Linked DNA regions of Rattus norvegicus. The protein of the gene in region 2 purifies or fractionates together with the protein of the main gene of each other region. This does not show direct contact. Links are inferred from orthologs where the notes say so. Each region holds a gene or a part of one and is shown on either strand. Other genes may lie near its edges. The genes, in order: Kat14 and Zzz3.

What was found.
Region 1: the proteins of Zzz3 (region 2) and Kat14 purify together in Homo sapiens (affinity purification with mass spectrometry; 4 studies listed by BioGRID and IntAct, with this or other methods). This does not show direct contact. The link is inferred for Rattus norvegicus from reciprocal best matches to the Homo sapiens genes ZZZ3 and KAT14.

What each region holds. Positions count from the first base shown.
Region 1 is NC_086021.1:152,193,130-152,197,467, reverse strand, and holds the start of Kat14 (cysteine-rich protein 2-binding protein), read right to left. Parts: upstream 2,909-4,338; 5' UTR 2,650-2,908; coding exon 2,391-2,649; exon of another isoform or gene 2,295-2,390; intron 654-2,294; exon of another isoform or gene 252-653; coding exon 133-251; intron 1-132. Other genes in the region: protein PET117 homolog, mitochondrial, read right to left, coding at 2,913-3,059. UniProt on the Homo sapiens protein: Component of the ATAC complex, a complex with histone acetyltransferase activity on histones H3 and H4. May function as a scaffold for the ATAC complex to promote ATAC complex stability. Has also weak histone acetyltransferase activity toward histone H4.
Region 2 is NC_086020.1:244,042,654-244,046,466, reverse strand, and holds part of Zzz3 (ZZ-type zinc finger-containing protein 3), read right to left. Parts: intron 3,422-3,813; coding exon 3,320-3,421; intron 2,581-3,319; coding exon 2,485-2,580; intron 317-2,484; coding exon 164-316; intron 1-163.

The DNA.
Region 1 (4,338 bases), on a different chromosome or scaffold from region 2:
GTCTTCCGTCCACACATTGTGTGCGCATGTCCACTGTGAACTGTAAAGCGCCCTCCCCGCAAACCGCTCTAAAGCGCCTCACTCTGGATGGCCACCCGGCCTGACGTGCCCAGAGAAGAGCTCTGTACTCACTTGCTGCCATGTCAGCTTCAGCCTCTCGGACTGCTCCTTGCCGTCTGCCGAGCAATCGGCACAAGTAAACCTGAAAAAGTTATCGCCCTTAAGGTAACTGAGCTGTTCCCTCAGCTGACCTAGGAGAAAAAACAAAAAGTCACATCACGGATTTGCCTCGTGCCGTGGAGATCCAACAGCTCAGTTAACCGACTAGCTCTCCGAGTTTCCCGTGGTAGATCTTTCTTCTTCTGCAGCCATCAGGAGAGTAGTGGAGGAGAGAAAGAGAAAAAGGTTGTTTCCCCTTCTGCAGCCAGGTGCCTGCCTCTCCCAGACCTAAGGCTCCTTAGCTGTTAGGGGGAAGGTCCTGGAAAAGCAGGTATGGTTGCTCTAGCTGGATCTCCCAGCAGTCACATTCCTGACTCCTCTAGGCCAGTCATCTTCATTCTTTCAGGGAATACTCAGCTGGTGCCGCCAGCCACACCAGGCTCGAACTGGATATGCAATGTCTAAGGCAGATAGGACCCACACAAAGAACACAGGTAAACAGGACTGTACTGGTTGTAGATTTCCGTGGAGCATCGGAACCACCCAGGTGGCTGGGCTTTATGTCCTTCCTAAGGTCAGGTCCACCCCCTTATGGAATGCTCCAGTCTCTGGGGTGGGGGCTGGGCTCTGCATTGAAGCTCCCAGGTGATGCTGATGCATTGTGCAACATGAAAACCTCCAGAGCAGAATGTACCTTGCATCCCAGGGCAGAGTAAGGACAGAGAAAGGGATGCTCAACCCCATTTAGGAAGGAATAGAGGTCTACTGGGCCCAGGGGGAACAGCCACTAGCTAGAAGAAAGGGCTGCCTGAGGGACAGATGTGCAAGGGAGCCACCCAGGTGCATATTCCAGGGAGAAAACAAAAAGGTACAAAATCCTAGGAATCAAAGAGTTGTAAAGAATGAAAAGTCCACCCTATCTCCCTAAAAACCTTAGTAGGGCCCAACCATAAAAGTCCCCTTAAAAATCTGGGGTTGGGGGGTTGGGGATTTAGCTCAGTGGTAGAGCGCTTGCCTAGGAAGCACAAGGCCCTGGGTTCGGTCCCCAGCTCCGAAAAAAAGAAAAAGAAAAAAAAAAAAAAATCTGGGGTTGGGGATTTAGCTCAGTGGTAGAGCGCTTGCCTAGCAAGCACAAGGCCCTGGGTTCGGTTCCAAGCTCCGAAAAAAAAAAAAAAAATCTGTCCGGTGAGGACGATGGGAAAACCAGTTTTTACTAGACAGCTGAGAAACAAACACCAGCTAAACAGTCAATTCTAGGTCTGTTCTCTAACCACTGCTATTATTAACCTATTTACAGTAGCTATTTGAACAATTTAATTCATTTTTAATAAAAGTTTCAACATACCAGAAAATGACCAACTTCATTAAGAGTTACACTAGCTATGAACTCTTGTACAAAGCAACCCTCCAGGGCACATGCCTTTGCTCATCTCTTGCCTAATGGAGAACACTGTTTAAGAGTCGAGAGGGCCTGGCGAGGCATGCTACGTACGGAGCTGGCAGCTGGAACCTCGAGATCTGTGCGCTGTGACTCCTGCCAGGATGAACGAGTTCCACGGTAGAAAACAAACCTGGGCTAAAGGCAGCAACCAAACACCACTGGACTGCTGATCCCAACCTTCCCTCAGGAGACAACAGCAGTACTCCACGAATGTCAAATAACTCACAGAACCTGAATTCTATACTGACACCAGAATGTGTCCCCCAACCCACAGCATAATCTTCTTAGAAAAATATGGCCAATGACTTAATACAGGATTCCTAATTTTTTTTGGGGGGTGGGGGGCTACCATCCAGAATGTTAACAATGGGATAATGGTAGACAGTTCTTATTAATACAAATGTGGTTTTATGGGCCTGGAGAGATGGCTCAGCAAGTAAGAGAACTTAATTTGCTTGCAGAGGATACAGGCTCAATACCTGGTGGCCACAGTGGCTCAGGACCATATGTAACTGCAGTTTCAGGATCTGATGTCTCTTTGACATTTGCAGGCACTGCATGCACATGGTGACATACACTCGGGCACACACACATACATATAAAATGAATGACTGTTTTAAAGAACTAAAAAAGTGGTCTGGAATAAATTTACATTTGGTAAACTAGACTACTAATAATAAATATAATAATTATATTTTTATTCAAGTCTATTTTATTAGTGTTTTTCACAGACTGGAAACAAGCCATCACATAGGGATCAACCAAGCAAAGGAATCGAGAAGCTCCTTACTGGCTGGGATCCACTTTTGGCACTTGTCACAGAAGTAAGACAGCTGCTCCTCCATCCATGATATATCTCCTTCATCGCTGTTGAGGGAATCCCCACTCTGGTCGTGAGATAAGTCCACTGATGCCTGATCCTCTGATTCCACAATTAGGAGAGTCTCTCCCTCCACCTCACCTTCCTCCAGCCCTTCCGAGGTAGACGTTCTCGTGGCTTCATCATCATGCCGACTTAGGAGCCCACTCAGGTGGATGCTACTATCCATCGCCCCTGCACTCCTAAGCTGACAGGCACTGTTGCAGGGATCCCCCAGACAGACCTTCAGAAGAGCATTTGCCCCCAAGTACTCTCTCCACACACGACAGACTCTTAAAAGAAGCAATTCAGAAGACAGGACCACTGTCCTTCAGTTAATGAAGTGTAACTGGATAGTGATTTTGGGGGCAGCTCTCACTAGCTATTCTCTACCACACACCGCACCCACAGTTACACACACCAACTCAGCGCTGCCCCATCGGCTTCTCAAAGTCAGGTATTTTGAGATCCTTTCTCCAACATCTTCTCTCTTTCTGCTTCAAGTTGCTTAGTCAAAATAATCTGTTCTCCCAAAAGACGAATGTTTTCTTTTTTCTGATTCTGCCTCTCAATGTCTCTGATCACTCCGTCACGAAGCCTCTAAAAACACAAGAAGCAGATTTTAGTTACCCCCTGAACAGGTGGCTCCCATCCTGTGCCTTCAAATCTAAATAACAGTGCCACCAAAATACACTCGAAATGTTCCAATTCTAAATACCCAATTACTATTTTAACCTTCTGTACAATGTAAATAAAGAAACCACCAAGTAAATCTGGTAATGTGTTATGTTAATACTTAAGTGGCTTCTCATCACATTTTAAGAAATCCCTGAACACAGAAAATTTAAAGGGAATTGATTTTAAAAAATTAATTTAAAAGGCTGCACTATGCTGAATTTTATAAATTTAATTGGAAAGTGATACTTTTAAAATCTGATGAATCAGTACAGAAAAACTGTAAACTATAAGCAGTTACCTAAGACAAACAATAAATACCAAGAAAAAGAACAGTAAGGGTGTGAGAAAATACAGGACTTTATCATGTAAAGGCAGAAATATAAAATTCTCAATCAATTAGATTAGAAAGAAAGAAAAAGGACTATTACCATTAAATGATAAGTTCCTCAGGGGTCATTACCTTGAAAAACACTAGACGCAGAATCTCGGAATGTGAACCTGGTGCCTAATGTGAATTTAAAAGGTCTGCTCCGTCACTACTGCAAATACTCTATACTTTGTAGCTCAGAGGGGCATATTTGAAACAGACACTTCATAAGAATTTTTTTTTTTCGGAGCTGGGGACCGAACCCAGGGCCTTGTGCTTGCTAGGCAAGCGCTCTACCACTGAGCTAATCCCCAATCCCTCATAAGAATATTTTTGGGTTGGGGATTTAGCTCAGTGGTAGAGCGCTTGCCTATCAAGTGCAAGGCCCTGGGTTCGGTCCCCAGCTCCGAAAAAAAAAGAAAAAAGGAAAAAAAAAAGAATATTTTTATTATTTTTTTTTAAATTTTATTTTATCTGCATGGGTGTTGTGGCTACAAGTTATGCAGGTACAGTGTTGAGGCCAGAAGAGAGTGACCTATACCATGGCACTGCAGCTACAGATAGCTCTGGACTGAAACCCAGTTCCTCTACAAAAGCAACCAGTGCCATCTCTCCAGTTCATTTTTCTTTTCAGAGTCAGCATCTGCATCTTTCTATGTAATCTTGACTGTCCTAGAACTCATTATGTAGACCAGGCTGGCCTCAAACTCACTGAGATCTGACTACCTCTGCTTCCCACCTATCTCTGTTTTTAAAGACTGGCCTAACAAAGAACCAGAATCAACCTAGCTGTTCACCAACAGATGAATAAATGATGAAAATCTGGTGTGTGCA
Region 2 (3,813 bases):
TTCTTACACCTATGCTGAATCTTCAAAAAAAAACCAAACAAACAAACAAAAAAAAAAAACTAAAAGCATATTAACTCTTAAAGGGGACATGTCAGCAGGGATAATCAGAAAATCATTTATTTCCTATTGTACAGTCAGCTGTATAAAACAGGGAGTAACTTACTGAGGCCTCCTCGACAGCAGTGCTCATGTGGCTATGGGGACAGGACCGCTCATCATCTTCATCCATGTACACTGGTGGCTCATGTGAAGTCATGAAAGTGGAGGGTTTAAAGAGGTGCTTATTAAGGGGGTGCTGTCGCCTGCTCGTTGAGGACTACAGGAGAAAACAATTGTTTTAGTGAGAGAGTGAGAAATCATTAATAGAATCAAAACCATACACACCCTACCAGTTACAGTACTCAATGCTGGCTGCACAGACTCTTATGATCAACTTACACAGAAAATCAAAGAAGATAAAATGATTGAAGCCAGTCAAATAACTACTCAGAGAGAGAGAGAGAGAGAGAGAGAGAGAGAGAGAGAGGTTTCCACACTATCTGAGTCTATAAAACAATCACCTAGCACTGAGCGACCACGTGCTTTATGGCATTATCACTTCATCCTTGTGACATTCCTCCAAAGCAAAGCAGCCATCACCGTTCACTGGGAGACAGACAAGCATGGGCAGGAGGAGGGGAGCTTCATAGTGAGGCAGTGGTAGAAGTGGATTAGAGCTATGTGGTGGCACAGCTCTCATACCAGCGGCTAATGCAGATACCACTCATGCCAGTACATACCACGGACACGAACAGAACCACTGGACAGATCTCACCATGGCCCAGAGCCATTATGAGTGTGGTATTCTAGACCTTAACAGCCACAATGTCTACTAACTTACAAGAGACTACACACACAATGGACCAAATTTAGACTTTGCTAGTACTATTCCTTTTTGGTCTTTATTAACTCTTGGTTGTAATAATGCAAGGTGTAAAACAACACATTAATACAATTAATTTAGAAAAATTATTAAGGGGTTGAGGATATAGCTCAATAGCCAAACATTTGCTCAGCATCAATTAAGTCCTGGGTTCGAACCACAGCACAGAAAAAAGAGGGAAGAGAGAAAGGAGAAGAGGGAGGGGCCCTGAAGACGAGGATGAAGTAAGAACCATGACAGGTGTAAGCTGACAGGCTGAACTGTCACGAGCCTGTGTACGAGGTTCCTGTAATCCAAGGCTGTAAAGTCTCTATAGTTCATTGGTACATAAAACACAAACTTAAAACACCAGGCAGTGGTGGTCCACACCTTTAATCCCTGCACAAGAGAGTGTGAGGATAGCCTGGTGTATAGAATGAGTTCCAGGAAAGCCACACAGAAAAAAACCTGTCTTGAAAAACTGGAGAAAAAAAACAAACAAAACAGAAAACCAAAATCAATGCCACAGGCCTCTGTTGAACCACCACTCACATACACATGCCCACATAGACATAATTCAAACAATAAAATAAATCTTTAAAAAAAATTCTAAGACGTGAACTATTTAAACAATCTTCTTAATGTAGAATTCTATAAACTAGCATTACCGAGTAACATTTGAAAGTGGTGTAAGGAAGGAGATGTCATAAGGACTTATCATGTTGGTGACTTCCTGTGGACCCTTTACCTTGAATGCTAAAGGCCCTCATTTCCTCCCTAGAACTTTGAAGCAATGGGGGAGGGGGCAAAAGGCTGCCTGGCACTAGTTATGAAACCAGCAGCACACTAGCACTCAGCCACAATCCTAGTACTTGCTTCCCAGCAGAGGCAGGAGGACCACCACAAATCCTGACCCACACAGCGAGTTCTAGGCCAACTACACAGTGAGATTCTGTCTCTAAAATCAATGGTTCTCAGCTTAGTAGTTTACAATTTACGTATGTTATTATGGCCTACTGTGCCTTTCTATTAAAAAGGTTTGAGAACACTGTGTGCTTCTGACATAACAGCCACCTGTCAGTATTCTCACTGTGAAGTGGCAGGGAGAGAACACTACTTACAACTGCACTGAGGGCTCAACATCTCAGTAACATTTCCAGTCTGCGCAACAGAGCACAGAGAAATCAGGCCTACATTTGAAGGCTAACATCACTAAGACATTCCCAACACAGAATCATAGTATAAAAAGGCTTGGAGTAGTACTCATTCATAATTACTCCCAAGAAAACAATGAAGAACTCTTTTTTTTTTTTTTTTTTTTTTGGAGCTGGGGACCGAACCCAGGGCCTAGCACTCGCTAGGCAAGCGCTCTACCACTGAGCCAAATCCCCAACCCCTCAATGAAGAACTCTTAAAACTCAGTGTATTCTTCTAAGCAGCAACAATGGAGTCTTAGTCTGCATTTATACTCTACACAGCGAAATGTCAAAATGAAGAGGAGCGCACTTCATTGACACACACCCACACAGCAGTTCCGAACCCAGAGATCCTCCCTGAGGTTTGCTCCTGTCTATACTCCTTACCTTCCTGGAGTATATATATAAGTTAGGTGTTCTGCCTGGAACTGGTATGCCGGCTTTAGTTAGCTTTATGAAATACTTCTGTACACGACTGGCAACCTAAAGAAACATGACAGCTCTTTCAACATAATGAAATAATGTGATATTTGAGAAGTTTTAAGTGCTAACAACTAAATCAAGAAGTAAACTTTTAAATTGTCATCAAAGACATTTATAAGTAAAAACCTAGACAAAACCAATTCAAGTAATAAGTTTTTTTGATTCCAAAGCTAAACAATCATTCCACTGGTGAGCACTGAGGAGCACATATGCGGCCCTCTCTGTCAGTGACACAGATAGACGGGCTGATGAAGGACACTACAGCGGCCCTCTCTGTCAGTGACACAGATAGACGGGCATGATGAAGGACACTACAGTGTCCATTCTCAGAAAGACAATCAGGGATGGTATTAATGAGATGCCTCAAAATCCAACAGCACAGTCTAACAAAGAGGACTGTCAGCACATTCACTAAGCACTCAGGAGATGCAAGGTCCAATGCATGCATGAGCATACATACACACACACACACACACACACACACACACACACACACACAAAGGTACATACATATGTATACATACACATACATATATTAAATGTTTTACATTGACACAAAGAAGTGTTATTTATGCTATTTCTGCTATCAACTTTCTGCTTTCTTATCAAAAATAGCAGTACTAATCAATTTAAAACTACCGTACACCAAAGCTAGCAATGGTTATCAGTTGTGCTGGTGTGGCTGCAGAACTGCCCACCGGAAACCATCTGCCACTCAGTCTGCAGCAATCCCCATCACCTGTTTGGCTGTCCGGTTGCCCAGTTCATCAGCAATCTTCTGCCACCGCCGAGATTCTACTTCTTCAGGAGGGTACTTCAGGAGTAGCTGTTCAAGTTTTTTCTGTACCAAACCCAAAACCAAATTTTAAGGGAATAAAGGATTCCATTTAAGATCCTGGAGTTCTGACTAGATACATTCACGGTTCACTCAGAGCACAGCAGGTGCTTTCCAATCTGGACGTCATATCACATTAGTAGAGATTCTCAGGTAGAAAACAGTCCACTTAGGAACGTAAGATGCCACGGGCACAGAGTGAGATTAGAGGAGACACCCGTATAGAGGCTCTTCCAGTCACCTCCATGACAAAGCAGCACAAAAGCCAGGAAGGTGTACTGGGGCTGTATCCATCTCAGTAAGCACAGCTTCTCAACTATCCTTTCTTGCTGGAATATGGCTCCCTTCAGCTTTAACAGAAAACATGCAAATTCACTGGATTTAGAATAAGGGACTCT